2 linked regions of the Ovis aries genome follow. The protein of the gene in region 1 binds, or shares a complex with, the protein of each later gene. Links are inferred from orthologs where the notes say so. Each region holds a gene or a part of one and is shown on either strand. Other genes may lie near its edges.

The links. Proteins that work in one complex are often made in the same cells at the same time.
Region 2: the proteins of GLB1 (region 1) and CTSA are in contact, whole or in part, in a cryo-EM structure (PDB 7KDV), measured with the Mus musculus proteins. The link is inferred for Ovis aries from reciprocal best matches to the Homo sapiens genes GLB1 and CTSA. Residues at the interface, in NP_033882.1 of Mus musculus: Tyr198, Asp199, Arg202, His206, Leu229, Thr233, Leu234, Gln235, Asp236, Leu237, Lys258, Phe259, Glu260; in NP_001033581.1 of Mus musculus: Glu29, Asp31, Ala37, Lys38, Gln39, Pro40, Ser41, Phe42, Arg43, Tyr107.

What each region holds. Positions count from the first base shown.
Region 1 is NC_056072.1:7,452,212-7,456,389, forward strand, and holds the start of GLB1 (beta-galactosidase), read right to left. Parts: upstream 2,824-4,178; 5' UTR 2,789-2,823; coding exon 2,717-2,788; intron 2,503-2,716; exon of another isoform or gene 2,152-2,502; intron 690-2,151; exon of another isoform or gene 581-689; coding exon of another isoform or gene 1-580. Other genes in the region: TMPPE (transmembrane protein with metallophosphoesterase domain), read right to left, coding at 1-580.
Region 2 is NC_056066.1:74,627,323-74,631,660, reverse strand, and holds the start of CTSA (lysosomal protective protein), read right to left. Parts: upstream 2,848-4,338; 5' UTR 2,800-2,847; intron 2,594-2,799; coding exon 2,400-2,593; intron 2,050-2,399; coding exon 1,938-2,049; intron 1,664-1,937; coding exon 1,613-1,663; intron 1,520-1,612; coding exon 1,433-1,519; intron 1,203-1,432; coding exon 1,047-1,202; intron 635-1,046; coding exon 543-634; intron 152-542; coding exon 67-151; intron 1-66. Other genes in the region: NEURL2 (neuralized-like protein 2), read left to right, coding at 3,217-3,958. UniProt on the Homo sapiens protein: Protective protein appears to be essential for both the activity of beta-galactosidase and neuraminidase, it associates with these enzymes and exerts a protective function necessary for their stability and activity.

The sequences.
Region 1 (4,178 bases):
CCACAGTGATCACCACTGGGGGCTGGGCGGCGTTCAGCAGCCCCACCACGCTGAGCACAGTGGTTACCACCACTGCCAGTGCCGGCCGAAGGGCCAGCTTCCTGGTCTTATCAAGGCTGCCCACTGCTCTGCCGGCACGCCAGGCCAGGAGCTGGTAGGCCTGCTCCATGCCGCTGAGGACACAGAGGAAGCAGAGCATGATGACATAAGCCCCAAGGCAGGTGTAGGCAACCAGGGAAAAGAGATAGGGCTCCTCGGCCACTAGAAAGATCATGGTGAAGAAGCTGGAATGCGCCAGGGCCAGGAAGGCCACGACGATCATCTTCCAGAGCTGGAAACAGGCTGACTCTGCAGCCGGGGAATGCTTGAGATTGCTGACGGTGCTACGCCAGATGAAGATGGAGCCGAGGAGCATGAGCGAGTTGGCAAACAGGGCGAGCTGCAGGCGGAACAGGCATCGCCAGGCCCTGAACTCCAAGCTCTCCGCCAGGTAGGACCGGGAGACAATCATGGACACGAAGACAGTCCCGGCAGCCAGGGCGGCCTTTGCCCCCAGGGACAGCTGCCTGAAGATCGTCATTGCCTCAGCTCCTAAGAGGATACCCCTCCAGCTCTGTGTGGGTGAGCTCTGGAAGGTGAGTTCCTTAGATAGGACAGTGGCCAAGGACAGGTTTCCAGGTCAGCTCCTCCTGCAACCAGGAACCGGCGTCAGCTTTGTGGGATATGAGAGCTTTCTAGTCCCCTGTCAAAACCTGAAGACCACTTACATCTGCCCAACCAGCCTTGAATCCAAGCCACTCACTCAAACCAGTCAAAACTAGTCAGCTGCTACACTTTACCAGTGAACTACAAACACACCTGATTGTAACAAGATGGGCAGTTTCACTTTTCTTACAGTTCTCTGCATCTTTCAAGTATTTCCACAACATGTATATGAACTTTTATAATAAGAAAAACATTATTCTAAATCAGCGGTTCTCAAAGTGTGGTCCAGGGAGACCCTTTGGCTGTTGGGGTTGCGGGGGAAGCGAGGCGGGGGGCGGTGTCTACTGACTGTTTTCAAAAACAGTACTAAGCCATAATCATTCTCTCATGAATGTACAGTGAAGTTTCCAGAGGTTACGTGACATGTGAAATGGCAGAACTGAATGCAGAATTAGTTACGAGCATTCAACAGCCATCTATTAAGACAGACATGAATGGATACAAGTATACATATGGCTGAGTCCCTTCGCTGTTCACCTGGAACTACCACAACATTGTTAATCAGCTATACCTCAATACAAAATAAAAAATTTAAAGTTTGAAAAAAACAAAGTCTAATCTCCAAAAAAAAAAAAACATGAAAGAGATTTGCAAAAATGTACAATGTCACTTTGTGCCCTAAAAACTGGAGAGAACAACTTGTTTAAAATATATATATATATATAGTTTATTAACATATAGTTTTAAATGTTCTAACTTCTAGGACAGTTACAGTTTGAGAACCGCTGTTCTAACGTGTAAACCAGGGAGCCATGGAAAGCTAGTCTGCTGGTATTTTTTTTTCAGCTGTAGGCCAAGAAGGAGAACCGAGGCAACTGACATAAAGATTCCTGGGGTGGAGCCAGTCTCCTGATTGGTTCTTACAGCTGGCTGGCTCCCAGACAAAAAACTGCAAGGGAACTACAGACCTGGATAGACAAAGGTTAGCAAATATTCACTTGAGGTGACCTTTTCCCAATAAGACCCCAAACGAAAATATTTTCAGCAGTTGTTTTCCAAGTAAAACTCTCAACCTTGCTTTTAGATAAATGTAGGCCTTGTCAAGTTCACCAGCTTCTACTTATAAAACAAACCCCAGACTCAGCCCATCGGAACTCTGGAGGAACCAAAATTAGGTCCCAGAAAGTGCAGAGAGAAAGGCGCCCGTTTCAAGTCCCCATTCTCATCTCCCAGCTCAGATCTTCCTCACCCCCACCTTTCCAAGACCCCGAGTTCCCTCGGCCGCTCCCTTAGCTCTGCCGGGCAGACTGAGGCTGTCCTCCCGCAAGCCGTGCACGACTCCCCCCACCTCCCCGGCCCCCGCGTCCCCGCCCCAGCACACAGCCCGCCGGCCCAGACCTCCCTCCAGCAACGCTGGCGGCCACCTGCAGCCTGCCCCTGGCCCACCGTCAAACGCGGAGGCTTTGAAAAATCCAAGCCTTAAAAGCAGGCGGAGGGAAGTAGCGAGACGGGCAAGAGACGTCCTCAAAGAGCACACCCCGAAGGTAATTAACCCAGTGTTCCCATTGCTGCGGCCTCTCGTGACTCCGCTATTCTCCTTCCGGAGCGCTCCGCACAGCGCAGGCAGGAGAGGCGCGCCAAGCCCGAGGCTCCGGCGGCCTCCAGGAGCGCGCGCGACTCCGATCCCACTCCCGGAAACCCGCCAAGCTGGAAAGCACCTCATCTCGGCCCCTGGTTGCACCGATAAGGAAGTGGCTCTCGGCGACAGAGGCGGCGGGAGCGGAACTCACCAGCGACAGAGCGCCCGGCAAGGACGCGCGCCCCGCCCGGCCCGGCCCCGGCGGGAGGGCCGGCCCACTGCCTGAGCTTCCCGCGTAGCCGGGCGGGCCCGGGCGGGCCTCGGGGTCCCAGGACCCCCGCCCAGGGGGCCGCAGGGGGCCGCAGCCCCAGCCCGGTTCCCCGCCTGCGCTCCCCCGATTCATCATTTGTGCGCGGGGTCCTGTGGACTTACGTGCAAACCACGCGCGGAGCCCAGCAGCAGCGGCGCCAGCAGCAGGGCGAGGAGGCGCACGACCCCCGGCATGTCCGTCCGCTCTCGGGCCTCCCGGCTCCGCAGTCAGCCGGGGCAGCCGTTCGGCGTCGCTTGACCGAGGACCCGGGGCCTGGCTCCGCCCCGCGCCGCCCCCGCCCCGCGCCCCGCCCCGCCGCCGCAGCCGCGGAGCCCGGAGCCGGCGGAGCCGAGAGCCTGGGGCCACACGCGGCCGCGGGACCGCAGGGCAGTGTTATCTGACCTCCGCCGGCCTCCGCCTGAGGGAGGAACCTTTTGCAAAGCCTCAGGAGTACTCGCTGTCAGCAGCTTGATAACGCACCTCGGGTTTGGACTTTAACAAGGGTCTCCTTGCTCCCCGGCTTCCCGGACACGACAGAAACGGAGCAGTTAAACCTAAGTGGACTAGATGGATCCTCAGCCCTTCATAGGGGCAGTCTGGAAAACAACCAGGAGTCCGCCAAAGTGTGGTCCCTGATCCAATCTTCTATCTGGTACGTGTTGGAATTGGAAATAACGAGTCCTCGCCCAAGAAACCCTTGCAGTCCAAGGGACCCTCAAGAGTCTTCTCCAACACCACAGTTCAAAATCATCAGTTCTTCAATGCTCAGCTTTCTTCACAGTCTAACTCTCACATCCATACATGACTACTGGAAAAACCATAGCCTTGACTAGACGGACCTTTAAGAGTAAAAATGTCCTTCTCACAAGAGTCTTTGGACACTTTTGAAACTAAGTCCCTTTATCTGGGGTTTCAGCAACACTGTCTTCCCCCTTAAAGCATAATTTCACTGACATGAGTAAACTATTTAGATTCAAATCTAAAAACTATTCAGAAGAGAAATTGTGAATACCTATCACAGGGGGAAAAAATCAAATGAAGCTGTTGTAGGTATTTTTGTGATATTCATGATAGCAAAGGAAGGCATAACAGCAAAGAAGAAAGATAATCACGAATCTATAAATAGTAAAATGCAAACACAAGTATATTATAAAATCTTATTTCTACCTAGTAGCACCAGATAATTGGAATGTCATTAATCATATTGCTCAGAATAAGGTTACAGGGTTTCCTTACCCTACTGCTCTCCACCCGGGTGCCCTTTCCCAATAAAATCTCTTGCTTTGTCAGCAGATGTGTCTCCTCAGACAATTCATTTCCGAGTAGGGATAGGGTCCAGAAAATCTATTTTTACAACCCTCCAGGTCATTCTGACAGCACGCAAAGCTTGAGAACCATTATTCCAGGTTCGGTTCAGTTCAGTTCAGTTGCTCAGTTGTGTCCGACTCTTCGCGACCCCATGAATCGCAGCACGCCAGGCCTCCCTGTCCGTCACCAGCTCCCGGAGTTCACTCAGATTCACGTCCATCGAGTCAGTGATGCCATCCAGCCATCTCATCCTCTGTCGTCCCCTTCTCCTCCTAC
Region 2 (4,338 bases), on another chromosome or scaffold:
AAATAAAGGGGGATGGGCAGGATGGGGGCTGTCGGGCGGTGGCGCAGGGCGGGGGCAGAACCGCACATTGGCCAGGCATTCTGGCTCTTTGTTGTCGTGGAAGTTACATTTGTTTTGAGAGCAACAGTGCGTCTGCAGGGAAGACCAGAGCCTGTAAGAGATGAATGATAACTGCTTAGGCCCATGGTGGGCCAGAGAAGGCAAGTACCCCACCTTCTCAACTTCCCTGTCAGGGCTTGGACCCAAGGGACCTGTTTCCTGGGGACAAAGACATTTATCAGAGGACGTGGTATGTAGCTCTCAAACCTAGCTGCCCTGGGGCCATCCTGCCAGCCCTCCTTCATTTCTTTACATTCTGATCTTTACATGAAAGACCCTTTCATCTTTCCACATCAAAATCCCAGCCTCACCCACCTCCCCTGCCCCCCAACTTCTGCTCATAAACCAGGGCAGGACCCGAGATAGCATGTGCCTGGAGGACAGACCTGAGACCCCTATGACCCGCCACGCCACAGGGATTGCCCAGTGGTCCTCTCCCATACCTGTTCCCCAGAAGGCCATGGTAGTAAGCGAAATAGACCAGGGAGTTGTCATTCTGCTCATAGGAAGAGAGTCCATTGCCCACCGCCAGCCCCTGTGAAACACCCAGGGCGTTCAGCTCATCTGGACGTGGGCCAGAAGAGCCTCCTTTGACCTCCACCCAAACCTTAAGCAGTCTGGAAGCTGAAACCCAGTGTGTGGGAGTGGTTGGGCGGGGGAGGCCACTCGGTGTAAAGAATGGAGTCGGCAGCTTGATGAGTGAGCTTCCGGTCAGGGGAGGCACGTAGCCCAGAGGGGCCAGCGAGTGGCAAGGGGTGTCATGAAGGAAGAGGTGGACGAAGGAGCTGACGTTCTGCTCATAGAGCAGGGGAGGTAGGACCTGGGGTACCACATGCCTGGGGAGACCTGCCGCAGGGGATTGCCCAAGACGTGGGTGGAGGAGTGGAGCTGTTTGACCTTGCTAACCACAAGTCTAGGCCTCCCTCCCCTCTGCAGCCTCCCTGCACCTGAAGGTTCATGCTGGGGTCCTGCATGACCAGCACTGCCAGGGTTGGGATGTAGATGCCGGCATAGCTTTCGCCAGTCAGGAAAAGCTCATTGCCCTTGTATTCTGGGAACAGGCGGAAGAAATCTTTAAGGGCTTCGAAGTTGCTCTGGGCGACCTAGAGAGGGCAGGATAGAGGGAATCAGAAAGTGGTGGGGCTTGAGCTACAAACAATCTCAGAGATAATGACACCCACCCACCCTGTTTGTGCAAGAGCCTGTGACTAGTCCAAGCCCACACCCCAGAGCTGGTGACAGAGCCACAAATGGGCCCCCAGACCAGGCTCTCTTTCTCCTTGCGTCACGCCAGCCAGGGAGACTGGGACACGAGGGCGGACTCTGGACTCACCTCCGTGTCATTGGTGGCATAAGACTTGTCATCGGAGTAGGAGAAGCCCACTCCAGCTGGGGACTCGAGGTATAACACGTTGGCAATCTAGAGGGGAAGTGGAAATGGGTTGAGGGGGGCTGTTCCCTTCCCCATCCAACTGCTGAGACACCCACCCAGGACCCAAAGGGGCAGCGATACCAGGTTCCAGGAGTAGGGGTTGTACTCCAGGGTGACACCATCTGGCTGGATCTGTGGAGGAAAGAGATGGCTAAATTCCAAGAGTCAGCTGGGTGGGGGGTGCAGTGGGGGAAGGTCACCCTGCTGGGTATTGCACAACCAGGCAAAACCCCCTGAGATATGAAACTGTCAAGTCAGGGGTATGGATGAAGACACCGAGGCTCAGGAAACGGACACATTTTTTGGAAGACCAAAGTCCTTTTCTCCCTCTTCCCGGGCCTTTTCCTTTGGGAACTGTCCCCTCCCTGCCTCTGACCAGGGGGTGACCCCGCTGCTCTCCACTCACCAGGAAGGGGCCGTGCTCTGTCAGGAGGCCGTCAAGGGAGCTACAGCCTGGCCCTCCATTGAGCCACAGAACCACGGGTCTGCTCTTCGGATCCTTCTGGGACTCCACAAACCTGGGGGGGGGGGGGGGCGGGGCGGGGAGTCAGTCTAGGGTGGGTGCTGGTGCGAGGGACTGGGTGCAGCTCGGTCTTCCAGCCTTCCCTACTCCTGGATTTCCTCAGGGATTTTTTTTTTCTTCTTCATCTCACTTTGACGGCAGAGCATGCGAGTTCTTAGTCCCCCAACCAGGGATGGAAACCCAGTCCCCTGCAGCTGGAAGCACTGCAGCCTTAACCAGCGGACCCCCAGGCAAGTCCGATCCCTCAGGGGTCTTAAGGACAACCCCCCACACCATCATCTCCCCCCACGGTGGGCATTGCAGTGCCCCCCTCCCAACCCCGTCCTGGGAGACAGGGCTGCAGACCAGTAGTGGAGGCGCTTGGAGCCGGAGCCTTTGAGGTAGCCGGAGTACTGGCGGAAAGAAGGCTGCTTGGCCAGCCCGGGCAGGAAGCGGATCTCGTCCTGGTCGGGGGCCGCTTCGCCCTCGGGCGAGCAGGCGAGCAGCAGCAGCAGCTGCAGCAGGAAGAGGACTGGCGGCCACAGCTCGGCTCGGAACATCTGCGGCGGGAAGCGGGTGCCCGCTGTGGCCTCGCCCGCTCTGTGCTCGGCCGCCCCTGGCGGGGAGCTGGCGGCGCACCCTCCAGGGAAGCCCCTGCCCTGCCCCAGCTCCCACCCGCCGTGCCTCCTCCGTCGCGCCCCGCCCGGGGCGCTCCCGGATCGCTTCCAGCCTCCGGGATCCCTTCCAGCCCCGGGATCCCTCTCACCTCCGCTCCCTCGCGTCCTTGCTCTCCTGGAGGTGCCGGCCCGGCGACGGGAAGTCATGTGTACTCCGAGTCACGTGTGCCCCGGCATCACGTGACGGGCCGCCTCCTGCCCCCTTCTGGCCTCTAAGGACCCAGGCGGGCAGGACGGGGGCGGCGGAGGTTCCACCCGGGCGAAGGTCAGCGGGTTCGGCAGGTCGCATCCCGGGCGCCGGCGGTCCCGAGCCTCCTGGGACTCGCATCGAGGCGGGATGGCCAAACTAGCGGCGCTAGGACCCCTGGGCAGAGCCTTGGGGAAGGGAGTCGGTGGGCGGAGGGCAATACCTTACATGGTACACTCCCCCTCCCCCGGCGGTCACCATCTGAGTCCGCTGCCCAAAATAGCCTCCGGCGCCCGCCGATCTGCCCCATGGCCGGGAGATGGCTGCTGTCTCCGACCCCGTGGGGTTGGGTGCTCCGCGGGGACCGGCGCGCCCCGAGCCCCCTCCCACCCGCTTCCACCCAGTGCACGGTGCCAACATCCGCGTCGACCTCTCCGGGACGCGGGCCACACGCGTGGAGAGCTTCGCCCACGGTGTGTGCTTCAGTCGCGAGCCGCTGGCCCCCGGCCAGTTGTTCCTGGTGGAGATCGAGGAGAAAGAGCTGGGCTGGTGCGGGCACCTGCGCCTCGGCCTGACCGCGCTGGACCCCGCCAGTCTGGCCGCCGTGCCCGAGTTTTCGCTACCTGACCTGGTCAGCCTTGGGCATACTTGGGTCTTCGCCATCACGCGCCATCATAACCGCGTGCCCCGGGAGGGCCGCCCGGAGGCAGAGGCCCTAGCCCCTAGTCGCCCCCCAGCACTCCTGGTGGAACCGTATCTCTGCATCGAGCAGTTTCGCATTCCCCGCGATCGCCTGGTCGGCCGCAGCCGGCCGGGTTTGTACAGCCACCTCTTGGATCAGCTCTATGAACTGAATGTGCTGCCTCCGACCGCGCGCCGCAGCCGCCTGGGCGTTCTCTTCTGCCCGCGCCCGGATGGCACGGCTGACATGCATATCGTCATCAACGGCGAGGACATGGGCCCCAGCGCCCGGGGGCTGCCAGCTGCCCAGCCCCTCTACGCGGTGGTGGACGTCTTCGCCTCCACCAAGAGCGTGCGCTTGATCCAGCTGGAGTATGGCTGTAGGTATCCCATCCCCTGGGCAGCGACCCCTCCTGGCCCCCAGTGGGGACAGAAACCTGCTAGGACTTCTGGACCAGCTGGCAAGGCCTTGGTCTGTCCAGGGTTGCTTTAGAAGTTGGGGAACCTGGGACTTCCCTGGTGGTCCAGTGGCTAGGACTCAGTGGGCCCAATGCAGGGAATTGGGATTCCATCCCTGGTCAGGGAACTGGATCCCACGTGCCATAGCTAGGAGTTTGCGTGCTGCAACTAAGACCTGGCACAGCCAAATAAATACATAAATATTAAAAAAAAAAAAAAAAAGGTGGAGGGGGGAATCTGACTTCAGATTCTGCCTCTGCCTGTGGCCTTGGACAAGTCAATTCCCCTGGCTTTGGGCCTC